Linked DNA regions of Callithrix jacchus. The protein of the gene in region 2 interacts with the protein of the main gene of each other region in a biochemical or structural test. Links are inferred from orthologs where the notes say so. Each region holds a gene or a part of one and is shown on either strand. Other genes may lie near its edges. The genes, in order: FNBP4, KHDRBS1, YES1, HCK, SRC, LYN and ITK.

Region 1 (3,500 bases), on a different chromosome or scaffold from region 2:
GCCTCCCGAGTAGCTGGGACTACAGGTGCGCACCACCATGCCCAGCTAATTTTTGTATTTTTAGTAGACGGGGTTTCACCTCGTTGACCAGGATGGTCTCGATCTCTTGACCTTGTGATCCACCTGCCTTGGCCTCCCAGAGTGCTGGGATTATAGGTGTGAGCCACCGCGCCCGGCTGGATAGGAAAATCTCTTGAATCCTGGAGGTGGAGGTTGTAGTGAGCCAAGATCGTGCCACCGCACTCCAGCCTGGGTGACAGAGTGAGACTCCATCTCAAAAAAAAAAAAAAAAGAAAGAAAGAAATTGCTATTTAAGAACTTACCTTCATACTACATACAAAATGAAAAAAAATGAAGGCAGGAATTATGATACCAAAGCATTGAATGTGAACTCTTACATGACTAATGGAACAATTTATGTTTACTTTTAGGTGACCTTTGAGTTTATGTATGGGATGTATGACACAGAAAACTAATTTTATTTTCTGATAAATCTGTTCATTTACCAAATTTTTAGTGAGAGCATAGAATGTGTCAGCACTGAAATTTAGTATAAGTAATAGTTGAAAAAGTTTAGCTAGAATTTAACATTTTACGTATTTAAATAAAATAACATATATAGAGAGGTACATGTGCTTAGTTAGTTGTAATCTTACCAGAGGTGATCCAAAAGGAAATGACGTAGCAGCATTACAGAGGCCATCCCTGATACCATTTGAGTTTAAGGAAGACAATAATTGGTTTTAGCCATGTTGAGCCCCATTTTTAATTTATGCCACTTCCTGTTTCAGGAATAATCATTGATTAGAAGCTTTTCTTTCTTTTTTTTTTAGATTATAAAAACTTCCTCTTTAATCAAGGTTTATAACATGAACAGATTTCTTGAATAAAATGTAACGTTTCCAGTACAATGAAACATAAATCCACAAGTCACCATACATCCAACACCCAGCAGGAAAAAACAAAAACAAGTTTACACGATCCCTGTAACAGCCAGGGTCTTAATCTCAGATGCTTCCTCCATCTGCCAAGTGTGCTCTGGATAGACAGCACACCGTGGCTTCTGGGGTCACACTCAGCTGAGGCTGTGGACCCACAGAGCACTCATCAGGTTGGGCTGTAGTGGTGGTGGCTCTACTCAAGAAGCAAAGCAGTTACCAGCACATTCACACAGTGTATTGAACATCTTTTAAATATCAAAGTGAAAAACAGGAAGGCAACACAGTAATGTCATCAGAAAGATGTTAGGAAGTAAGGACAGCTGTGTAAAGCGTGAGGCTGAAAAGTGGCTTGCCAGCTTCATTTCTTCCGCTTCTTGGGTAGTGGGCGCCAGAACAGTAAGATGTGAGGTTCTGGTTCATGGATCATATAATGGACCCAACCCTGACTCTGTTGAAGGCCAAGATTCCTCTATTCAGATTCAGACATCAAATGGGTTTTAGGGACCAGCTTGGCTATGTCCTTAGTCAGCATGACATGCCGATACTCAAACTCCTCGTATTTGTCCAAACAGTAAATTTGTTTGTGCAACATGATGACTCCGTCTGCTAGCCTTCAGCCCTGCACCGCCAACCTCCAAGCAACTCCCAGCAGCAGCTTTTTTTTTTTTTAGACAGAGTTTTGCTTGTTGCCCAGGCTGGAGTGCAATGGCCCAACCACGGCTCACTGCAACCTTCGCCTCCCAGCCAGATTCAAGGGATTCTCCTGCCTCAGCCTCCTGAGTAGCTGGAACTCAGGCATGCGCCACCATGCCTGGCTAATTTTTTGTAATTTTAGCAGAGATGGGATTTCCTCATGTGGGTCAGATTGGTCTTGAACTCCTGACCTCAGGTGATCCGCCGGCCTTGGCCTCCCAAAGTGCTGGGATTACAAGTGTGATCCATCACTTCCTACTGAAAAGCTTTGTTTTTAACTTTGAAAGTCTTTGTTACTCTTTTTTTTTAAATTTGTTTTCTTTTGTAAAGTCTTTGTTTCAACTGTTACACTGTAATTTGCTTACTTTGAGGTAAACACTTTAATCACTAAATTCTAAAATCAGGATATACTATGTACTATTTGGGAAGAGAGAGTGAGATTGAATAATTGAAATAACTATGCGGATTAATTTTCTTGTTCTCTTGTTCTTTTTGTTGCTGTTTTTTGGAGACATGGTCAGTCTCACTTTGTCACTGGTTGGAGTGCAGTGGAGATGTTCCTGCTCAGTGTAGCCTCAACCTTCTAGGCTCAAGCTATTCTCCCATCTCAGCCCCACGCCCAGCTAATTTTATATTCTTCTTCCTCTTCTTTTGTTTTTATTTTTGTTTTGGAGAGACAAGGTCTCACCATGTTTTCAAGGCTGGTCTCAAACTCCTGGGCTCAAATGACCTTGCTACCTCAGAACCTACCCAAGAGGTTGAGACTATAGACATAAGTTGTGGTGCATGGCCCATAGATCAAGTTTTTTTTATTTCTTTGGAGGGGGAAGTCTCGCTCTGTTGCCTAGGCTGGAGTACAGTGGCTCAATCTTAGCTCACTGCAACCCTGCCTCCCGGTTTTAAGGAGTTCTCCTCCCTCAGCCTCCCCAGTAGCTGAGACTATAGACACACGCTGCCACGCCTGGCTAATTTTTTTGTATTTCTAGTGGAGATGGGGTTTCACGCTGATGCCTAGGCTGGTCTTGAACTCCTGAGCTTGGGCAATCTGTCTGCCTCAGCCTCCTAAACTGCTAGGATTATAGGCGTGAGCCACCACCCCTGGCTATAGATGGTTTTTATTAGCTTTAACCATTCGATGTAATTTATAGTTCTGTGATAGTTCAGTGATTATTAGTTTTGGGATTATGTTCTTATTTGTAAGTAAGTTAAAAAAAAAAACCATGTTATACTTTCGCTTAGACATTCCTAGGACTTATTGCCATTGTTATAAATGCTGTTTTCTAGGCCAGGCACGATGGCTCAAGCCTGTAATCCCAGCACTTTGGGAGGCCGAGGCGGGTGGATCACCAGGTCAAGAGATCGAGACCATCCTGGTCAACATGGTGAAACCCTGTCTCTACTAAAAATACAAAAAAATTAGCTGGGCATGGTGGCGCATGCCTTAATTTCAGCTACTCAGGAGGCTGAGGCAGGAGAATTGCCCGAACCCAGGAGGCAGAGGTTGCGGTGAGCCGAGATCACGCCATTGCACTCTAGCCTGGGTAACGAGCAAAACTCCGTCTCTTAAAAAAAAACCAAATACTGTTTTCCTTTTTGTTTCTAGGCGGTCTATGCTTACTTGGTGCTTATGCTGACAGTGATGACGACGACAATGATGTTTCTGAAAAGCCAGCACAATCCAAAGAGACAAATGGAAACCAGTCGACTGATATTGATAGTACATTAGCCAACTTCCTAGCGGTTAGTGGTGCTTTGGTTTGGGGTTTTAGTTATTGAAGGTATTTTGGGACCAGAATCTCAAGTAGTCATCCTACTTGTCAATTCACTGTCGTCCACCTCCTTTCACCCTCTCCTTCCAACTCTTTT
Region 2 (3,955 bases):
TTTTGATGGTTTATGGGACAAGTAGGAACCTAAGGCTCCACTTGCATATAGCACTCTAGGATGTGGAGAACGCCGTTGAAGATTGTCCACTATGTATGTACCTTGGCCTTGAGAGTAGTGGCAAGGGTCTCTCTAAGCCAGTCTGGAATGGTAGAAGGAGCCATCCTAATGATGCAACCAACGTCGATTAAGGATCTGGTCTCTATCCCACTTTTTGACGGAAAAAACACTTAACTGGCAAGAATGACGGCTAAACAAAACGTTAAGTCACAGAAAGCAGTAAAATATGTAAAAAGAGCTAAAATGCTGCTTCTTTTAAGATTTCCCTGACCAGCAATGGCAACCGTTTTAGAACCGACTGCAATATATGTAATACTGGAAATATATATAACACTAGCAATGACTTCTCGTGTTCCCTGCTGTCTGGGGCCCTTTTCTTTGCTAGACTTCAGGTCTCTGATCCGAACCCTCCCTCTTAGGTCAAGTCCTCCAATTGCTTTTAGTGTTTCCACCAAGCCGTCCTTCTTCAATTTCTCCCTCCAGGTTTCCCTTCCCCATCTCCCCTGCTATTGCTGCGTCAGACTCTCCCTTAGTCTTTCTTTCTCCTTGTGCAGTCTCTGTCTCTCCCCCACCTCTCTTCCTCCCTAGGCAGCCTCAGTTCTCTCTCCCTTCCCTTTCTGGGTCTCCCACCGCAGTCTCCTTTTAGTTTCTCACTTCAGTGACCGCCCCCAAGCTACTCGCCTTACCACCCCACCCCATTGCGCACTAAAATGTCCGTGCCTTTCGGCCGTTGGAGGGCGTGGCCCGGCGAGTAACAGGTCTCCCGCCCCACACTCGGCGGGCCCGCGCGTAGACAAAGACATTCCACAGCCCCCGCCCCCTCCGCCCACTGAACCAGAAGGGGAAGGACCCACGTGTCCCGCTAGCGCCGAGTCACGTGGAAAAGGAAACGAACTGAGCCGGCAGCCTCCCGCGCATGCGCGCCAAATTCTGGCCTGGCGGGCGCGGAGGGAAAGCAGGAGTCGGGAGGCCACTTCTTCGTACGCCGCGGTGGTGCGCAGGCGCCGTGGCTGGACTGGGGACTTTGTTCTCCGCGGAGAAACCCAAGGGCGGTGCCGGTGACTGGCTGCGCACGCGCGCCGCCTCATTTCCGGTGCTCTCTCTCGCTGGGTCGCTAGGGTCGGCTTCGGTCGCTACCGCTCCCGCTCTCCCACCCCCGCCAACCGCCGCCCGGGCCTCCGCCGCTACCGCGTCGCTTTCTCACTCCTTCGATCGCACATCCTCCCCGATGCAGCGCCGGGACGACCCCGCCGCACGCATGAGCCGGTCCTCGGGCCGCAGCGGCTCCATGGACCCTTCAGGTGCCCACCCCTCGGTGCGTCAGACGCCGTCTCGGCAGCCGCCGCTGCCTCACCGGTCCCGGGGAGGCGGAGGGGGATCCCGCGGAGGTGCCCGCGCCTCGCCCGCCACGCAGCCGCCACCGCTGCTGCCGCCTTCGGCCACGGGTCCCGACGCGACAGTGGGCGGGCCAGCTCCGACCCCGCTGCTGCCCCCCTCAGCCACAGCCTCGGTCAAGATGGAGCCGGAGAACAAGTACCTGCCCGAACTCATGGCGGAGAAGGACTCACTCGACCCGTCCTTCACTCACGCCATGCAGCTGCTGACGGCAGGTAAGGGGGCCTCCCGGGTCCCTCTGGGTCGCCCGGCCATCCCAAGGCATGAGTGGCCCTGGCTTTGTTCCTCTCGCCTTCCGCCCCCTCGGGACCGAGGAAGTCGGGAGCTCCGGTCTCATCTTCGTTTTTGGGACCCTGGAGTCCACATTCCCACCTCAGTCTGGAGTGCGAGGGAGAATTTCTAGGCTGCAGTGCAGGCCCGAAGGCGACTTTGCGATCTCCTAGCGCTAACATCTTGATGGATAGTGCTGAGCTCCCCGCCCCTTTCCCGACTCTTCACTCCTCCCTCCTCCTGCGGCTGCCCCGCGCTCCGAGCGCGCAGATTCTTCCAGAAATGAACCTGTATTTCCCCCTTTCCCCGAGGGGGAAGCCTTTTTGATCGCGAGTGGCAATGAGCCCCTCGACCGAGGTGTGGGAGGTGAAGACAGCCAGAACGGGGGAGGGGCCGTGGGAGGAAAGGCCGAGGTGAGGTGGGGTGAGGCTGGAATGCCCTGTCCAGCGCGTCGCTGTCTCTGGGGCCGAGCCGGACTTAGCGGTAACCGCAGCTTAAGTTGCTGGGAGGAAGGAGCGATTTATGGGGATCGGAGCTTGAGGTTTTCGAATCAGATTTCCTACTAAGGCTGATAAAATAAGAATTGCTATACTGAGCTTGAAGGTTGTCTTTAATTTTACACCGTGGGTTCACCATTGAAGAAGGAGTGAAATAACCCTAGAGACGTTGAAATGGGACGATAGGGACTGCCGCGTAGTTCTCATGACGTTTCCCAACGAGATGGACAGAAATTGAGAGAAGTTGCATGATGCTTGTACTGAAAGTCTTGGTCTTTTTGTTGCTTTGTTTTACATATTTTATTCAGTAGTGAAAAAGAAATGAGTCTTTGTTCTGTAGATTAGCGCTCTTTTTCTGATCAGCATTGGCCAATCACCTAGTCGCCCTGATTTTTCCCTAAAGCTGTCTGACCTCCACTTCTAGTTAAAACATTATTTTAATAAATATTTCTTATGATACTTAAATTTTAGTATGCAAGTAAAAATTCCCATCATTCAACACTGAATGAGTGGTTGGACTCTATGGCAAGGTTAATATAATGAACAGTTCGTTATGAAAATATTACCTCCCTCCCTTTGTTCTGTCTCCCAACACTGTAAGTTAAGGGCTCTTTACCAATGTGGTGTTCATCTTTTATGCTTTTTTAAGATAACTGTCAAAAACTATTGACCCTTAAAAGTTCCCTGTAATTTTCAGTCTCCCCTCACTGCTTAACTAAGAGAGCGCTCTTTATTTTTAACTTCTGTTTTCTGGATGAATTTTTTTTTTTTTTCTTTAAACCAAACTGAAATTGGTAAGTGTGTTTGAGGTAATGTTGGTTCACTGAAAGAATGAAATCGGGATGTATGGATTCTTTGTGGCATTGATAAGTGTTAATGTATATTGAGCCTGGCTTTTTATTTTTTCTGAGACAGAGTCTCACTGTCACCCAGGCTGGAATGTAGTGGCGCTATCTTACCTCACTGCAGCCTCCACCTTTCGGGTTCAAGCGATTCTTCTGCCTCAGCCTCCTGAGTAGCTGGGATTACAGGCGAGTGCCACCATGCCTGACTGATTTTTGTATTTTTAGTAGAGATGGGGTTTCACCTCTTGCTCACTCTGGTTTCGAACTCCTGACCTCAGATGATCCGCCCACTTTGGCCTCCCAAAGTTCTGGGATTACAGGCGTAAGACACCACGCCCTGCCAGAGCCTGGCTTTTAAGGTACTTCTGAATTATCTTGCAAAGGAATTGCAGCGAAGTCACAACCCACTGTGAAGAAGTGAGACTTTGAGAAGATAGAATAGTAATATTTAAGTTCTAGTAAGAACAAATGGAAGGGCCAGGCGCCGGTAGCTCACTTGGGGAGGCTGAGGAGGGTGGATCACTTGAGGTCAGAAGTTTGAGACCAACCTGACCACCATGGTGAAACCCCATCTCTATTAAAAATTAAAAATACAAAATGAGCCGGGCATGGTGACACACACCTGTAATCCCAGCTACTTGGGAGGCTGAGGCAAGAGAATCACTTGAACCCGGGAAATGGAGGTTGCAGTGAGCCCACGTCTGACCATTGCACACCACCTGGGCAACAAAAGTGAAACCCTATCTCAAAAAAATAAAATAAAATAAAATAAAAACATGGAAGAAAAATATAGCTATATTTAATGTTTGGTGTCTGAGCACTTTACATTAAATTTTTTTTTTGAGACAGAGTTTTGCTCTTGTTACCCAGGCTGGAGTGCAATGGCAC
Region 3 (3,500 bases), on a different chromosome or scaffold from region 2:
AAAAGGATGGAAAAAGATGTGCTCTGTAAATCCTAACCAAAGAAACAAAGCCTGGATAGCAGTAGACTGAATTTAAAGCAAGAAATAATACTAGGGGCAAAAAGGGACATTTTATGATGATAAAAGGGTCAGTACAGCAGGGAAACATAAAAATCCAAAATGAGCTATGTAACTACATAGCTTCAAAATGCATAAACATTTATATGATCAGGATATTCTAGTTAAATTCAATGTTCAGATGAGAATCCAAATCTAAACAATTTGTAGGTTACCCGTCTTTAAAGTAGAAAAGGAGATACTTTAGGCCAGGCGTGATGGTTCATGCCTGTAATCCCGGCGCTTTGGGAGGCTGAGGCAGGTGGATCACGAGGCCAAGAGGTCAAGACCATCCTGGCTAACATGTCGAAACCCTGTCTCTACGAAAAATACAAAACTTAGCTGGGAGTGGTGGCAGTCGTCTGTAGTTTCAGCTAGTCAGGAGGCTGAGGCAGGAGAATTGCTTGAACCCAGAAGATGGAGGTTGCAGTGAGCCAGTTGCGCTACTGCACTCTAGCCTGGGTAACAAAGCAAGACTCCATCTTTTTTTTTTTTGAGACCCCGCCCACCCCAATCCACAAGACTCCATCTGAAAAAAAAAAAAAAGGAAAAGGAAAATAGACACTTACTGTCTTTTTTTTTTATGATTTTAGAGGATTTGGAAAGAACTTTCCACATATAGCACAGACCTTTCCACTGCATGCTCTTCTCACAGAAGATTGTCCATTTCAAAGCAACAGCTTCTGTTTACTATTCTTATTTGGGGACAGTAATAAACCTTGATAAATGCTAAGAGGTATGAAATGCTTACATTTATTGACAGTATGCTGAGTATTTATATATTTTTCTTCTTTTTTTTTTTTTTAAAGACAGAGTTTTGTTCTGTCACCCAGGCTGGAGTGCAGTGGCATGATCTCAGCTCACTGCAACCTCTGCCTCCCGGATTCAAGCAATTCTTCTGCCTCAACTTCCTGAATAGCTGGGATTACTGGCATGTGCCACCACACCCAGCTAAGTTTTGTATTTTTAGTACAGATGGTGTTTCACCATGTTGTCCAGGCTGGTCTCAAACTCCTGACCTCAGGTGATCCTCCTGCCTCAGCCTCCCAAAGTGCTGAGATTACAGGTGTGAGCCACCACACCTGGTTGGCATAAAATAATAGTTCTAATTATTATAGAATTCTGAAGAGTGAAGTGAAAGCTTATTAGTAATTAGAAGTTATTTTTGTAGGTTCTGGCTTATTTAGATTGATTAATCCTAACAGTCAATTAAAATAAAAGAACAGAGTAGAAAAAACGTACTAAAAGGATTTTTCTAGCATAGCAAAAGAAAAAAAGGAAAAAAAGTTCAATTATAGTAAGCCCTCATCGAATATTAATTCCCTTGCTCCTTTTCTCCTCCCCTGAAACAACTTCTTGTATTTTGATGGTTGGTAAAATATACTGGATTTCACTTTATTTATTTATTTATTTATTTTGATATAGAGTCTCACTAAGTCACCAAGGTAAAGTGCAGTGGCACAATCTCGGCTTACTGCAACTTCCGCCTCCCGTTCAAGCAATTCTCCCGCCTCAACCTCCCAAGTATCTAGGATGACAGGCACCCACCATCGTGCCCGGCTAACTTTTGTATTTTTGTAGAGACAGGAGTTCACCATGCAGGCCAGGCTGATCTTGAACTCCTGACTTCAGGTGATCTGTCCGCCTCAGCCTCCCAAAGTGCTCTGAGATTACAGGCAAGAGCCACTGCGCCTGGCCGGATTTCACTTATGAAGATAACACTACCTATTTAGATGAAAAGTTCAGAAAACTTCCTTTTAAGTATTGAGTTTCAAAGTAATGTCATATAGGGCTTTTTTAAAGATAGTTTAAGAAATTTATTTTGAGAAATCAGTTATTCTTCAAAAAGAAATAACTAAAAATCTAAATAATGATTTAACCCCATTACATTTTCTTGAGAGAATCAAGTCCATTTTAAAAACCATTCCTGATTGGTTGATAAAGTTTACAAGAGATATGAGGGATGGCCTGACTTAGGCAGGCAGGGAAGGTGATGCGCCAGATGGGAAGCATGGTGGGGTTGTCGGCTTGGTGAGACACTGTCAGGAAAAATTTGGAAAAGGAGGCTTTTTGCTGGCCTGTGATAAGATGGGATGAGCTGCTTATTGTTAGGGGGTTGGGGGAAGGGGAATTATAAAGGAACACAAAAAAGAAACTATGTGTAATATCTTGAAGAAAGTGAAACAGGTGATACTAGATAAGGACACTGTTTCAAGGAAGTAATTTGGTATAAAGTTACATAGTTAGTATATTTGGCAAAACCAAGACTAGAACTTTCTTCTCAATTCCTATTTTAAAATATTTTCAGACACAATCTTGCCACCACTCCTCAGTAGCCCAAGTTTGGTCATTCTTTAATGTTAACATTAGAAAGTACCAGTACCTCAGAGCGGCTCCCTAATTCTTATTAATCAAATGGGGTTGGCTTTTGAAGACATTGGTATTAAAAATAAGATATTAGATGGAATGAAAAATTAGACATGTTAAAACATAGGTTAGCATTTTCTAAGCTTTTCTTGATACTCTCCTTCAAAATATATTTTGTTGCTTTGTTAAAAGAATTATTTCACTAAATAAAATTAATATACTTTGAATCAGTTAGTGACTATTTGGTTTATGTTTTCCTAGTGGTACTTAGGACCATTGTTCTTTAATGTTTTAATCTTGTGTGTTAGGTATGGTGAACCGTGAAGTACTGGAACAGGTGGAGCGAGGATACAGGATGCCCTGCCCTCAGGGCTGTCCAGAATCCCTCCATGACTTGATGAATCAGTGTTGGAAGAAGGACCCTGATGAAAGACCAACATTTGAATATATTCAGTCCTTCTTGGAAGACTACTTCACTGCCACAGAGCCACAGTACCAGCCAGGAGAAAATTTATAATTCAAGTAGCCTATTTTATATGCACAAATCTGCCAAAATATAAATAACTTGTATAGAATTTCTACAGGAATCAAAAGAAGAAATTCTTCTTTACTCTGCATGTTTTTAGTGGCAAACTGGAATCCCAGATATGGTTGCACAAAACCACTTTTTTTGTTCCCAAGTATTAAACTCTAACATACCAATGATGAATTTTCCAACCTATTTCAGGGTCCAAAGAAAATAGAGCTAAGATACTGATGACAGTGTGGGTGATAGCATGGTCATGAAGGACAGTGAGGCTACTGCTTATAAATCATTTTCTTTCTTTTCTTCCCCAAACTCAGAATTGCTCAAAGAAAATTATTTATTGTTACCGATGAAACTTGAGAGATAAAAACTATTACCATAATGAAATCTAAAATTAAGGAATATCATGGGACCAAATAATTCCATTCCAGTTTTTTAAAGTTTCTTGCATTTATTCTTCTCAAAAGTTTTTTCTAAGTTAAATAGTCAATATGCAATCTTAATATATGCC
Region 4 (3,500 bases), on a different chromosome or scaffold from region 2:
CTCTTTCTGGGGACTATCTAGGCTCATGTCATATTCTGCTATACCTCTTATATCTTTCTCATGCCCCAGCCCTGGGTAGGGAAAATTCACTTATTTACTCAACAGAAATCTACTGATTGTCTTGTGGGTGCCAGACATGTTGCTTGAACAGGTGGTGAGCCAGGCAAAACTGCTGCAGGTAGAAAGTCCCATAAAGAAAAGATAAAACAGGCCGGGCGTGGTGGCTCACACCTGTAATCCCAGCACTTTGGGAGGACGAAGTGGGTAGACCACTTGAGGCCGGGAGTTCAAGACCAGCCTGGCTAATATGACAAAACCTGTCTCTACTAAAAATTCAAAAGGAAGATGAGCGTGGTGGTGCACGCCTCTAATCCCAGCTGCTCAGGAGGTGGAGGCATGAGAATTGCTTGAACCTGGGAGGCAGAGGCTGCAGTGAGCCGAGATCATGCCACTGCAGCTTGGGTGACAGAACAAGACTCTGTCTCAAAAAAGAAAAAAAAAAAGATAAAACAGAGTAACAAAAGATGACCCGTAGAGGGCTTTTTCAGATTGGGTGTTCAGGGAAACCTGCTTTGAGGGGGTGAGATTTTAGCAAAGATAGGAATGATGATAATAATAAGTGTGTCACATAAGAATATTCTAGGCAGAGAGAACATCAGGTGCAAAGGCCTAGAGGTAGGAAAGAGCTTGGGTGTTTGTGGAACAGCACAGAGGCCAGTGTGGCGAGCAGAAGATGCCACAGAGAAAGTGGGGAGAGCTGAAGTTGGAAGGGAGGCCATAATCATGAACAGCCTTGTCGGCCAGGACAGGAGGGTGGATTTTATTCTGAGCGTGATGGGGAGATATTCGAGGCCTTCAGGCAGGAGTGTGACATGTTCTGATGTACATTTAAAGATCACCATGGCTGCCGAGTGAAACAGACTGCATGGAGGATTCTTATTCACACTGGGGGCCCTAGAAGCCTTTGATGAAAACACAGGGATTATATCTCACAGTCATTTTTACTTACAAGGGTGTGGACAAAAGAGGTTGAAGATGAACCCTCAGATGCCCAGAAAGCAGCACTTTTGGCTGACAAACTGGGCGACAAGCAATTTGAGGCAGGAATGATCATGATCTGATCTCTGTTTTACAGACATGGAAACACTCGTTCCAGCTCACACCACCAGAAACATTCTGAATGTCAGGCTCAAGCCAGTCTGAGCATTCCCAATCTAGTGCTTCCTGTTGCCTCTAAATAACCCAGCACTCCAGTCGGACTGCAGCTGGGTGCAGTTTGATGAAATTACTCTGGAAGCGAGAGCGTCTGACTAGACTAGACAGACCAATCAAAGCACCACCAGCTGGCCTCCCAGCGACTGAGTCAAGTGAGTGGCGCACTTGCAGGGAGTGGACAGCAGGGGGCACCTGAGGCAGTTAGAATGGAGATCCAGGCTTTTTTTTTTTTTTTTTTTGACTGGCTCTTGCTCTGTCACCTAGGTTGGAGTGCAGTGGTGGGATCACAGCTCATTGCAATCTCTGCCTCCTGGGCCCCTGTGTTGCCCAGGCTGAGCTCAAACGGTCCTCTCACCGCAGCCTCCCGAAGCGCTGGGATTACAGGCCTGAGCCTCCCTGGGTCTCTAAGGGAGACCCAGACTTTTCAGTAAAAGCTTGGAAGAGACTGATTTTGTTTGGAGTCGTAGGAGGTAGGGACGAGATAGGGATGAGGTTGCCAGGAGGAAGTGAGAGACAGAATCTTGATCCTGGGAGTGTGGGAAATTTATGAGTCCTTAGACGAACGATTAACAGACATCATAGCTTGTTTACAGGATGATACTTAAATACTTAAGTGACATGTACCTTGTGCTTTGGAGGAGGCACTTTTGCTGTCAGCCCCCTTTCCACAGATAAGAAAACTGAAGCCCAGAGAAATAGGTAAGTGGCCCCAGCTTACACAGCTTGCAAGTTGCGGAGCCCGGGCTGAAACTCCAAAAGCGCCGCCTGGGGTCTGTGCACTGGCCTGTTACTCTGCCCAACCCTTTTGCCTGGCTTTTCTTCTGGAACAAGCTCTAATGCCAGGAGTTACCGCTGTTTGATCCCCACTGGCAGATGCTCATACCACTGATTTTCACAGGAGCTCAATGGACTGGGGCTGACACCCCACTCAGGAGACAGCAGAGGGTATTGACTAAATGGCTCTGGAGCTGGACCAGCTCAGCTTGCGTGCTGCAGCTCTGTGATGTCAAGCAAATTGTGTCATCTCTCTGTACCTCACTTTCTTCTCTGTAATAGCACCCGGTTCCAAGGGGTCAAGTGAAGATTAATCCCCTAAGCCTACATCAAGGGCTTAGTGGAGTGTCTAGCACATAGTGAAGTATATATTTCAATAGTGGCTCCTGGTGCTCTCAGTGGGGGAAAGTGGCACTCAGAGAGGTTAAGCTACTTGCTCGAAGCTACACAGGCAGAGCTGAGATCAAAACAAAACTCAATGTGACTCCTAAGCCCAGATGTTAGTAGTGCTGCCTCTCAAGGGTTTGCTGACTGAATGAGTAATGAGTAGGTTTATTGAGCCCAGGTGTCAGCACTGGGGGTTGATAAGGTGGTGAGATTTTAATGATCCCCAGACAGGGTGCCATGAGGTTGGGCATTGGAACTGGGTTTGCTTCCAAGAGTATCGGGGTGTCACAGCATCAGACCTGGAAAGACCTGTAGAGCTCTTCAAAATGAATCCTATGGATGCCTCAAGGTTATATGGGGGCGGGGGAGACAAAAGAAAGGCCACAGATAAGCCCCTCACCCTGCTTTGGTCAGAGCAGCCCTGTTTTGGCCTGTTTGTATTTACTCAGTTACTGCACACCATTTCATTTGGCCAACGCAGCTGTGACTACCAAAAAAAAAAAAAAACAAAAAACCCACATTGTGGTCCAGTTCCCTCATTTGACAAATGGGGAGACTGAGACCCAAAGTGGGTTGGACGTCAATAGCCAGTTGGTGGTGACAGGCTGGGGAACCCACCTGCTGCTCCAAGCTGCCTCTCCGAGTCTGGAGGTGAGGACCAAGGCCCCAGGTGGGCTCCTTTCTTCCCCTGGGCTCTGAGTCTACCTCTGCTTCTGGACAGATGAAGGCCCAGAACCTCTTTCCTTCCTTGGTTTGTTTCCCTTTTGTGAAACAGGGAGAGTGGCTCTTGCCCTGGTCCGTGACTGCTGCCCAGCAGGGTTTCTGCGAGTTTGGAGATGATAATTTAGCAACAGATCAGTCTATTGTCTCCCAGGAGACTGGGCCCACTGGAGTGAAAACATATTTCCATATCCCTCTGGCATTCCAGGCTCTGAAAGTAGTCTTTTGTTACACCTTGTGGTGTCCTCTGGGCCCCTGGAATTTACATACTCAAATGAGCCCTGCCCTTGGCATCTGCAGGAGGCCCAGCTAAGGCCCAGGCTGGGTCTCACTCAACTCCCACCACCCCCTGGGCTCCTGCCAAGTAGGCTAAACTCCTTTACCTACTTTTGCATAGGCTGTTT
Region 5 (3,500 bases), on a different chromosome or scaffold from region 2:
CTTTCACCCTGACTCCCAGCTCAGACCCACATCTGCCTCCATGCTGTTCCCCAACAGCCCGGCCGAGCAGGCAGCGGCAGTGCGATTCTGCCATCTCGAACGCATCCTCAGATCCCTTGTCCCCTGGGTTGTCCCAGTCTTTTCGTGATGCCTCCCACGAACTGTTGGTTCCTGAGGAAGACAGAGGGAGCACCGGTTCCAAGCCGCCTCCACTCTGAACTGCTCTGTGGCCTTGGACACGTCACATCCCCTCTCTCGACTGTCTCCCCATCAGTGAAATGGGGGCAAGGAAGTGATGATCTCCAAAGGTGCCTCAGGTCTAAGGAGGCAGGGTTTGAGGGGTACTCATCCTACTGCCCAGCCTGGGAGCAGCGGCAGAGGATCCATCTCGGCTGCCTCTGCCTACAGGTGTTTCCAGAATGGATGGCAAGGGGCAGGATGGTGAGCAGGCGGGGCCAGGGGCCCATCGCTCCTCTTTGGAAAGGCTCTTTGGCCAGCTCTCGAGACAGATTGGGGGTGGCACGGAAGTGGGCAAGGAGTTCAGTGAGTGGAGTAGGCTGAGGCTGGAAAAGGCCATCCTCAGGCCCGGCCCCAGCCCTTCTCCCGGTTCCTCCTCCAGAGACCCACAGAGCTCCAGGAGGGAGTGCAAGGAGGGGCGTGTGGCTAGAGTGGGCGCTGGACAGTCACTGTGCTGGTCTCACACGCCTGCCGCCCTCTCAGGCCACCCTAGGTCCGGAAGCCCCTTCCATGCCGCCAAAGAGGGAGGGGCCTCGAGCCTGGCAATTCAGCCCCACAGAGAGAGGACCAACAGCAGGCAGGCAGAGCAGGGCGAGCCCCAAGACAGGGGCCACCCAGCCCAGGATCCAAGCCGAGAAGCCAGTCTGGGCCCGCCCGTGCCTAGAGGTTCTCTCCAGGCTGGTACTGGGGCTCAGTGGACGTGAAGTAGTCCTCCAGAAAGGCCTGCAGGTACTCGAAAGTGGGCCGCTCCTCAGGCTCTTTCCGCCAGCACTGGCACATGAGGTCGTGCAGGGACTCAGGACACTCGGGCGGGCAGGGCATCCGGTAGCCCCGCTCCACCTGGTCCAGCACCTCTCGGTTCACCATCCCTGTGGGCAGAGTGAGGCATGGGAAGCCTGGCTCCAGTAAGGAAAGTGGGGTGCGGGAAGCTGATGGGGAGGATGGTGAGGGCTTCCTGCCTAGGCCAGGTTGGGTGCAACCATGGGTAGGTCCCGTCCCCGAAGCTGAGAGCATGGACCATCAGGAGAGCCTAAGATCAGGTGCTCAACTTCTTTGTTGTATGGATGGGGAAACAGGCCCAGCAGGAGTCAGGTCTTACCCAAGGCCACCAGGGCAAGGGCTCAGGGACTAGAGACGGGCCGGGAGGACCTTCTTACCAGGGTAGGGCACCCGCCCCTTTGTGGTGAGCTCCGTCAGCAGGATCCCGAAGGACCACACATCCGACTTGATGGTGAACCGGCCATAGAGGGCAGCTTCCGGAGCCGTCCACTTGATGGGGAATTTGGCACCTGCAGGAACGAAAAAGGTCAGGGCAGCTCTGACCTGTCGTGACTGCTCCACCAGGTGAGCACCATGAGGAATGACAGATAAGGAAACTGAGGCTTGGGAGAGGACGTGACCTGCCCCAGGCTGCACGCCCCGTGCCACGAAGCCCCTGCCCACCTTGCCGGGCTGTGTACTCATTGTCTTCGATGAGCCGAGCCAGCCCGAAGTCGGCCACTTTGCACACCAAGTTCTCTCCCACCAGGATGTTGGCTGCACGAAGGTCCCGATGGACGTAGTTCATCCGCTCAACATATGCCATGCCAGAGGCGATCTGCAGGCAAAACCATGGGAGCCCAGCTCAGGTGCCACCCATGCCCTCCCAGGACCACAGGGCACCCAGGGCTGGAGAGCCATCCACCCCTCCCCCACCATCCCATGCTTCTTCAGGCAAGTGAGGTCAGTTCACGGTAAATGCTGTTGGCATCAAAAGCAGGAGCAGTGCTCCGCAGGAGGAGGGAGCACAGGGGCAGAGGGGAGAGAGCAAAGGGCAATGGGGAGGCCCGAGATCAGATGCAGCCAGGAAAGTGAGGTGACCATGGAAAGAGGCCCCAGCGGACCCAGACACAGACAAGTGGACAAGTGCCATGCCCTGCCTGCTGCCCAAGTCTCCTCTCTGAGCCTGTTTTCTCATCCATCCAATGGGAATAATAGCCAATCCTCGTCACTCCTGATGAAAAATGCTTGTCAAGCACTGCCTAAAGTCAGCACAAACACATGTCTGCTGAGTGACTAAATGACTATTGAGATGACAACTGAGTACATCAGTTGTACTGATGTACAGGGGACCTCGGGCCTCAGTTGTCATCTCTATAAAGGTGACCCCTGATATTAGTCAGTGACCCCTGATGCCCAGGTAAGGGCTTTCTGCTGCCCAGAACCACCGCTTAGGGTGCCTGTAAGTGGACCTGGTAAATACGTGTGGCAAGATCAGTGAGTGTGGGGGTAATCAAGGCAGGCTTCCTGGAGGGGGCACTCAAGAGGCCAGAACTGGCTGCACCAGATGGGTCTGGGTGCTTGAGGACCAAGGGTGTGGGGAGAAGGGAGGGGCTGACTAACCTGAGCAGCCATGTCCACCAGCTGAGGCAGCCGCAGGTACTTGCCCGTTTCCCCCTTGAGAAAGTCCAGCAAACTCCCTGGGCAGAGAAAGACCCAGCTCCAGTTCCTGCCCTGTCCCTCTGCCAGGATGCAGTGATTCCCAAACCTGTCCTCCCAGGTGGCTAGCCTTGCTATAACCAGCACAACAGATTTTATGTAAACTCATCTCTCAATAAAGTGCTTGTCACTCAAAAGGCAAGCAGGTTGGGAAACGACCAGATGCGCACCTCCAGGTGAACAGGTAAACTGTGTTAATGCGGACAATGGCGTCCTGCTCAGCGACAACGGGAACTAACTGCTGGGAGATGCCACAGGGACGCATCTCAGGCTGGGCACGGTGGCTCCTGCCTGCAATCCCAGCACTTTGGGAGACCAAGGCGGGAAGATCATTTAAGCCCAGGAGTTTGAGACCAGCCTGAGCTACACAGTACAAAAGATATAAACAAAAAAAAAAATTAGCTGGGCGTGGTAGGGTACACCTATAGTCCCGGCCACTTGAGAGGCTGAGATGGGAGGATCAATTGAGCCTGGGAGGTCAAGGCTGCACTGAGCTGTGATCACGCCACTGCACTCCAGCCTGGGCAACAGAGTGAGTCCTTGTATCAAAAAAATTTAAAACATTTAAAATTTAAAAAGTTAAAAAAAAAAGGATGCATCCCAGATGTAAAATATTTCATGTATGAAATTCTTGAATAAACAAAACAGATTGATAATGACAAAGTATATCAGTGGGTGCTTGGGTTTGGGGTTGGAGGGTGCTGTCTGCAAAGGGCCCAAGGAACTTTCTGGGTGATGGGGCTGTTGCTATCCCCATTATGGTGAGAGCACACAGTAAACCCACT
Region 6 (3,500 bases), on a different chromosome or scaffold from region 2:
GGCCACATGTGCCAAAATGCAGGCCATGGACTGACTACAAGGGGAATCTGCTGAGAAGGTGAGGTTGAGCTGATGCAAAATTCAACAACATTCCAGAAAAAGCCATTTTAAGGAAAAATCTAGAGCGATAGTATATGCGTTGCATAGGTGTGTTTTGGTCTTATAAAAAGTATATTAAAATGGTAAATTAAGGGCTCTTTGATATTTGAAAAATCAGCTTGCTGCTTCGAAAATGATGAAATTAGTCTCTAGTCTTCCAGTTATTTCCTCTGAATCATATAAAATAGATTGTATTATTCAAATTATGCAAATCTGAATGACTGAAAAATCGACATAGAACTTCTTGACATAAACATGATATGTACAGCCATGGGTTTTTCTGGTACTACAGTGTAGTCATTTTCCTCACCTCACTGAATTGGAGATTTTGTGGGCTTTCATCAGAAATTTGAATTTCAGTGCAAACTGTTTTTGTCCCATTCTATGAAGCCACTTTAATCAAAGAGAAACAGAAAAGTTACATGGTTTGTGGGACAGGTCTCTGACAGCCCCTATCCTACAAGAGGCCCAGAGGCCTCACACAGCCTCACATGGCACTGTGAGAAAAAGGAATTTGATTTCAAAAGTAATTGAGATGGCCTTTTGTGCCACCACATCCTTCCCAATAACTCACCTCCCCACTGAAATAACAGGGGATGCCATCTGTTCCTGTGATTGAGTCATGGGATCAGCCCAAGAGAAGCTGGATGAGACAGGAGTTGCTCTCAGCCTCCAGGGACAGAGCCCTGACTGTGCAATTTCACTCAAACTGGGGAAGCCTTGGATGGGCAGTCCTGGGCGGGGACAGCAACTCCACTGAGTCACCAGGCCCCGCCACTTCCGTCTCCGTCCTGCTGCCCTGATGTTTGGTTTCTATGGCTGCTGGGGCTCCAGTCTTCACTTATTTCCAGGGAGAGAGAAAGAGGCAAAGGAAAAGGGGAGCTGATGGCAAAGGCCTGAACAGTTGATCTGCTGACTGAAACTTTCTGCCATCTGCCCGGGGCTAGAGGGTTTGCAAGCACACTCATTGAGCTGGGCAAACTGCCACCCCAAACAATGTTAGGGTTCTGTCACCAAAGAATGGGGGGGTTAGGATGAGGTGAGCACCGAGCAGCCCCCGTCTGGAACCTCACTCCCTTCCTGCCACCCACAGCAAGTGACAAAAGAGCCCTTTCACTGGCCGAGCAGAGCTGGACGAAGCTCTACAGGTTTTTCCTCTGTGCTCCTGTTCTTTCCAACTTCATGAATGAGCCCATCTAACAGCATCTGCTTCTATTACAAAAATCATATATACAACATGAATGTCAGCAAGAAAAGCTAAACAGAATATTTTTCCCTAACGAATATTCTCTTGTAGGTTTCAGAATCTCAGCTTTTGCCTGGACAGAGGTTTCAAACTAAAGGTATGTCTTCACAGCAACATAGTTAAATTTTTTTTCTTTACTATTAGAGCTTCTATAAAGTGGTTGTCTTGATTTTTTTTTTTAATGTGGGACATAGATAACATAAAAATGGACCCTCGTCACTATTTTTAAGTCTACATTTCAGTGGCATTAGGTACATTCTCATTGTTGTGGAACTATCACCGCCCTCCATCTCCAGAACGCATCTTCTCAAACCGAAACTCCATACCCATTAGACGATAAGTCCTCCTGCCTCATCCCCCTGCCGCTGGCAACCTCTGTTCTGGCTCTATGAATTTCACTGCTCTAGGTACCTCCTAGAAGTGGAATCATATAGTAATTGTCCTTTCATGTTTGGGTTATTTCATTTAGGGTGATGTCCTCGAGGTTCATCCATGCTGTAGAAAGTGTTAGAATTTCTTTTATTCTAAGGGTGAATAATATTCCCTTGTAAGTATATGCCCTGGTGAAGCACAGTGGCTCATGTCTGTAATCCCAGCACTTTGGGAGGCCAAGGCAGGTGGATCATCTGAGGTCAGGAGTTCAAGACCAGCCTGTCCAACATGGTGAAACCCCATCTCTACTAAAAATACAAAAAATTAGCTGGGTATGGTGGTAGGTGCCTGTAATACCAGCTACTTGGGAGGCTGAGCCAAGAGTATTGCTTGAACCCAGGAGACAGAGGTTGCAGTGAGCCGAGATTGCACCATTGCACTCCAGCCCGGGCAACAAGAGTGAGACTCCATCTAAAAAAACTATATCTGTATCTATATCTATATCTATATGCCCCATGATGTTTATCCATTCCTCCGTCATTGGATGTTTGCATTATTTCCACATCTTTGAATAATCTTGCTGTGAATATGGGTGTATCATTTCTTAAAATAGACGGGGAATTTGGTGTATCTGGAATCAGAATCTATTTCTTAAATACAGAGTTGTATTTATAGTTGTAGATTTCAGTGATTCGGTGGTTTGCAATAGCAAATACTGGACACAGTGTATACAGCAAGTTACTCTCCGTAGGCCGTGCAGACATGAGCCCGCGAGGTAGGAAGCACATGTCCTTCTTCCCATCGCCCCTCTCTTAGTGCTTCCTCATGTCCTTTGTGCCTCATGAGGATGGTTAACACACTTCCGCTGATGGATTCTTACAGGTGTTCTCTTGTGCTCATCTCTAGATCCGGAGGAGCACGGAGACATCGTGGTAGCCTTGTACCCCTATGATGGCATCCACCCAGATGACCTGTCTTTCAAGAAAGGAGAGAAGATGAAAGTCCTGGAGGAGTAAGTGCTCTCAAACATGCGGCGGTTGCTCCTTTCCTTGGGCCACTGAGGCCTGCAGGCTGTCCCCTTGTCTTGCTTCTGATGCCGCAGCTGTAGCCTGGCCCCCTTCCTGCAATGGGCATGAGGCCTCCTTGCTACCCACAGGGAGTGGGCAGTGGAAGGAAAAGGGCCAAAGGGATTTTCCTTCTAGGTCCGGCTGTGAGCACTCTGCAGGGGGTTCCCTTTGGAGACAGATGCTGGTTTATTCATTTATTTATTTATTTAGAGATGAGATCTCTCTCTGTCATCCAGACTAGAGTGCAGTGGCATGATCATAGCTCACTGCAGCCTCAAACTCCTAAGCTTAGGTAATCCTGCCACCTCAGCCTCATGAGAAGCTAGGACTACAGGCATGTGCTACCATGCCTGGCTAATTTTTAAAATTTTTAGAGATGGGACCTTGTTATGTTGCCCAGACTGGTCTTGAACACCTGCTGTCAAGCAATTCTCCCACCTCGGCCTCCCAAAGTGTTGAGATTACAGGTGTGAGCCACCACACTCAGCCTAGTTTCTTTCTTTATCCAATCTTGCCACCTTAAGGAATTTGGGTCTGTGTGGCCCATGCATAATATTGGAAATGCCATTTTTCTTTTGTTATATTACTCACATTTAGACTGGGTTGATGGGCCCAACCTAGTTTGAGTTCTAAGGGTGCTGAGCTACAGCAGCCATATTGGAAGATCCTCAGCTCAGCAGTTGCTGTGCTTCTGTGAGGAAGCCTGGGTGTCGTCA
Region 7 (3,500 bases), on a different chromosome or scaffold from region 2:
GCATATGAAAATGTTCTTAACATTGAATGTCATTAGGAAAATGCAAATTAAAACAATGATGTAATATAACTACACATCTATTAGAACCACTGAAATCCAAAACAACAAATGCTAATGAGGAACTCTCGCTGCTGGTGCGAATGTAAAATAGTAGAGCTACTTTGGAAGACATTCTGGCAGTTTCTTAAAAAGTTAAACACAGCCTTACCATATGATTCAGCAAGCATACTCTTAGGCACTTACCCAACCGAGTTGAAAATTTATGTGCATACAAAAACCTGCACATAAACATTTATAGCAGCTTTATTCATAATCGCTTAAAACTGAAGGCAAGCAAGATTTCCTTTAGTGGGTAAATAAACAAACTGTGGTATATCCATACAATGGAATATTATTTAGCAATAAAAAGAAATGAGCTATCAAGCTAAAAAGCCATGGAGTGACCTTAAAGGCATATTACTAAGTGAAAGAAAGCAGTCTGCCTGGATGCTCATACCTGTAATCCCAGCACTACGGGAGGCCTGAGATGGGTGGACTGCCTGAGCTCATCTGGGCAGTATGGCAAAACCTTGTCTCTACCAATAATGCAAAAAATTAGCTGGGCATAGTGGCTCATGCCTGTGGTTCCAGCTACTTGGGAGGCTGAAGTGGAAGATTCACTTGAGACTGGGAGACAGAGGTTACAGTGAGCTGAGATCGTGCCACTGCACTCTAGCCTGGGTGACTGAGATCCCATCTCAAAACAAAACAAAAATTCAAACAAATAAAAAAACTTGAAAGCAACCAAGATTTCCTTCAGTAGGTAAATAGATAAGCAAACTGTGGTATATCCATACAATGGAATACTATTTGGCAACAAAAAGAAATGAGCTATCAAGCCATGAAAAGACATGGAGGGACCTTAAAGGCATATTACTAAGTGAAAGAAATCAGTCTGAAAAGCATACATGCTGTATGATGCCAATATACGACATTATGGGAAAGGCAATACTATGGAAACATTATAGAGATCAGCAGTTGCCAGTGGTTTGGGGATGAGGAGAGGGATAAATGTGTGAAGCACAGGAAATTTTTAGGGCAGTGAAACTATTCTGTCTGATATTATAATGGCAGATACATGGCATTATTCATTTATCAAAACCTACAGAAATCTATAGCATAAAGACTGAACCTTAACATAAACTATGAACTTTAGTTAATATAATGTATCAATAAAGGTTCATGAATTGTAACAAATTATCACACACTTGCCAAATCTTAGTGAACAGAGAAACTGCTCAGGTGAGGAGGGTATTTGAGAACTCTGTACTCTTTGTTAAAAAATAAAGTCTATAAATTTAAAAAATCAACAAAAGATGTTTAAAAGAGGAAAAAGTGCCAACTGAACATCAGCTGTCATTATTATTATTGTAGTTAATCCTTATGAAGTGGATAAGATTTGTTTCATGCCCTTGTTTATGACTTTATTGTTTCTTTGTTCCTCATTATAAAGGCTCTATGAACCCATACATCAAGCATTATTTAATTCTCTTAACAGTAAGAAAAAGGAAGTTCAGAGAATTGTTGAAGATAAATGGCAAATAAATGGTAAAGCTGAGACAAAATCCTAGTGTTCTAAATTGTCTGTATTCCACTTTGTTGTCCTACAATGATGTGAATTTTTACTAATTCTCTATTTCAGCAACTTTCCACTTTGGCTGAAATGTACAATTTTCTAACTCACCAAAGACCATCTAAGACTCATGCTGATGGGGCTCAACCCATGGCCTGCAATCCAAGGATGGGATAGCCAGCCAGGTGGGTACAAAGGAAGTGGCTCCCCATTTTAAATTGCTGAATGAATAAAATGAATTCAAATTAATCCATTTCAATATTTTCATAGTGTGAGTGAACTTTGTTCCCCAAGTTATAGAACTAACTTCATGTACTTTTAATGGTTTTATGATGTCACAGATTTTATTTCTTTTCTCAGAAAATTGAGAAGGAAGTTGGCATAGGTCACACCCCATTCTCCTCTCTGAAGTTATGCTTATGGCTTGTGACATTATATAGTAAACAAAATAATATTTAAGGTCACCATCAGCTCCATTAGGGATGGGGGATCTATCCTGTTAAAAGACCCTCAAAGTCATGTTGTTGTTAATCTATATGAGTCATCCCTCTTGCCTTAGCCTTCTGAGAGGGTTACTTTCTCTAGGGAAGGAGGCAGGTCCTGAAATTGTATATGACGATGCAGGGGAAAGCACTTCCTCCACTGACCTCTTTCCAGCAGTGATTCATAATCTGGTAGACATGTGAGGAGGCTAGCCGGGGCTTGTACAACCGAAATCCAGTACTGATGTCTTCTACCACCTCTGAGTTGCTTCGGTTTTCATATGGGATTTTGCCTTCACTGAAAACTTCCCACATCAGCACACCTATGAGAAATGGTATGCACAGCACAGTGAATGACAAAGCCCACAGACAGCAAACAAAGCAACCTCCCCCTAGAAATTTCAGACTCGTTGGCATTAGGATTCATGTGCTACCTCCAGAAGTACATCAAGTCTACCTGAGGTTTATTAGCCCTGTCCTATTTTTAAAGAACTGAAATTTCCAACCTTTCTAGTGGAGAAGGATTTTCAAGATGGACCCTTTGTTATATCAAACTCAAATGCTGCCACTAACAGTTGTAGACTCAAATGCCAACGTGCAATATGTAAATGAACGGAGTGCAGGAAGTATGATAGGGGGAATTGTGGAAAATGAGATAAACAGCTCCGTCTTAAGGAGACAGCTATGATTTGACTCCAGCCAAAGTATGGCATATGAAAATGAGGGATCAGAACTGTTACAATTTCTGATTTTTGAAAAGGAAGTCAAAAATTAAGAGGTGAACTTCTTGAATTTTAAAAACACCATGTAGACCAAGCAAAATACATCTTTGGCTTATCTGTTTTTGACCTCTGATTTAATTCTTTTCCTTTCTTCTTCTGCCCTTAGTAGAATTGTCAGCTTTGTCCTTATCATGTGCTGATATAGTCACAGGTTGTCAGACCAGGAAGACTGCTTGTAAATCACCTAATCCAGCACTTTTCAAGGTTCGTTCCAGAGAATCTTAGAGTAGACATTCCCAAAGCATGATTCCCAAAACACCGAATAAAAATCATTTCAGAGGCTTGTTCAAGTGGCAGATTCCTGGGCCCTAGCCCAGACCCAGTGGAACAGAATCGCTAGGGGTTACTCAGAGGTGCCTCAGGAGTTGGAAATTGACAACCTGACCCTAAATAAGAGTGTTTATCACCCAAGATACCAGAATTTTTAGTGAAAATTGTTTTGAATATGCGCTGCTGCTAAAACATGGTTTCAGAATGATTGCCTTAAGACATAGATGCATAGAGGAGAAGCGAATAGATGAAAATATTGAGTGAAGTGCAAAGAGATTGACTTGTTCAGAATAGCACACTGCTAATTAGGATGAAAAAACCTTAACACATACAACAAAGTCCAGCGTGCTGATG

What was found.
Region 1: the proteins of KHDRBS1 (region 2) and FNBP4 form a complex in vitro, tested with the Homo sapiens proteins (2 studies listed by BioGRID and IntAct, with this or other methods). The link is inferred for Callithrix jacchus from reciprocal best matches to the Homo sapiens genes KHDRBS1 and FNBP4.
Region 3: of the proteins of KHDRBS1 (region 2) and YES1, one has a biochemical effect on the other in vitro, tested with the Homo sapiens proteins (2 studies listed by BioGRID, with this or other methods). The link is inferred for Callithrix jacchus from reciprocal best matches to the Homo sapiens genes KHDRBS1 and YES1.
Region 4: the proteins of KHDRBS1 (region 2) and HCK interact in a biophysical measurement, tested with the Homo sapiens proteins (2 studies listed by BioGRID and IntAct, with this or other methods). The link is inferred for Callithrix jacchus from reciprocal best matches to the Homo sapiens genes KHDRBS1 and HCK.
Region 5: the proteins of KHDRBS1 (region 2) and SRC form a complex in vitro, tested with the Homo sapiens proteins (8 studies listed by BioGRID, with this or other methods). The link is inferred for Callithrix jacchus from reciprocal best matches to the Homo sapiens genes KHDRBS1 and SRC.
Region 6: the proteins of KHDRBS1 (region 2) and LYN form a complex in vitro, tested with the Homo sapiens proteins (3 studies listed by BioGRID and IntAct, with this or other methods). The link is inferred for Callithrix jacchus from reciprocal best matches to the Homo sapiens genes KHDRBS1 and LYN.
Region 7: the proteins of KHDRBS1 (region 2) and ITK form a complex in vitro, tested with the Homo sapiens proteins (4 studies listed by BioGRID, with this or other methods). The link is inferred for Callithrix jacchus from reciprocal best matches to the Homo sapiens genes KHDRBS1 and ITK.

What each region holds. Positions count from the first base shown.
Region 1 is NC_133511.1:112,816,462-112,819,961, reverse strand, and holds part of FNBP4 (formin-binding protein 4), read left to right. Parts: intron 1-1,215; exon of another isoform or gene 1,216-1,533; intron 1,534-3,237; coding exon 3,238-3,374; intron 3,375-3,500.
Region 2 is NC_133508.1:68,627,225-68,631,179, forward strand, and holds the start of KHDRBS1 (KH domain-containing, RNA-binding, signal transduction-associated protein 1), read left to right. Parts: upstream 1-1,155; 5' UTR 1,156-1,288; coding exon 1,289-1,670; intron 1,671-3,955. UniProt on the Homo sapiens protein: Recruited and tyrosine phosphorylated by several receptor systems, for example the T-cell, leptin and insulin receptors. Once phosphorylated, functions as an adapter protein in signal transduction cascades by binding to SH2 and SH3 domain-containing proteins.
Region 3 is NC_133514.1:63,289,954-63,293,453, forward strand, and holds part of YES1 (tyrosine-protein kinase Yes), read left to right. Parts: intron 1-2,771; coding exon 2,772-2,980; 3' UTR 2,981-3,500. UniProt on the Homo sapiens protein: Non-receptor protein tyrosine kinase that is involved in the regulation of cell growth and survival, apoptosis, cell-cell adhesion, cytoskeleton remodeling, and differentiation.
Region 4 is NC_133506.1:7,110,022-7,113,521, forward strand, and holds part of HCK (tyrosine-protein kinase HCK), read right to left. Parts: intron 3,199-3,500; coding exon 2,995-3,198; intron 1-2,994. UniProt on the Homo sapiens protein: Non-receptor tyrosine-protein kinase found in hematopoietic cells that transmits signals from cell surface receptors and plays an important role in the regulation of innate immune responses, including neutrophil, monocyte, macrophage and mast cell functions, phagocytosis, cell survival and proliferation, cell adhesion and migration.
Region 5 is NC_133506.1:32,839,217-32,842,716, reverse strand, and holds part of SRC (proto-oncogene tyrosine-protein kinase Src), read right to left. Parts: intron 2,697-3,500; coding exon 2,620-2,696; intron 1,835-2,619; coding exon 1,681-1,834; intron 1,527-1,680; coding exon 1,395-1,526; intron 1,107-1,394; coding exon 898-1,106; 3' UTR 1-897. UniProt on the Homo sapiens protein: Non-receptor protein tyrosine kinase which is activated following engagement of many different classes of cellular receptors including immune response receptors, integrins and other adhesion receptors, receptor protein tyrosine kinases, G protein-coupled receptors as well as cytokine receptors.
Region 6 is NC_133517.1:12,347,596-12,351,095, forward strand, and holds part of LYN (tyrosine-protein kinase Lyn), read left to right. Parts: intron 1-1,396; coding exon 1,397-1,442; intron 1,443-2,623; coding exon 2,624-2,729; intron 2,730-3,500. UniProt on the Homo sapiens protein: Non-receptor tyrosine-protein kinase that transmits signals from cell surface receptors and plays an important role in the regulation of innate and adaptive immune responses, hematopoiesis, responses to growth factors and cytokines, integrin signaling, but also responses to DNA damage and genotoxic agents.
Region 7 is NC_133503.1:20,008,514-20,012,013, reverse strand, and holds part of ITK (tyrosine-protein kinase ITK/TSK), read right to left. Parts: intron 2,418-3,500; coding exon 2,260-2,417; intron 1-2,259. UniProt on the Homo sapiens protein: Tyrosine kinase that plays an essential role in regulation of the adaptive immune response. Regulates the development, function and differentiation of conventional T-cells and nonconventional NKT-cells.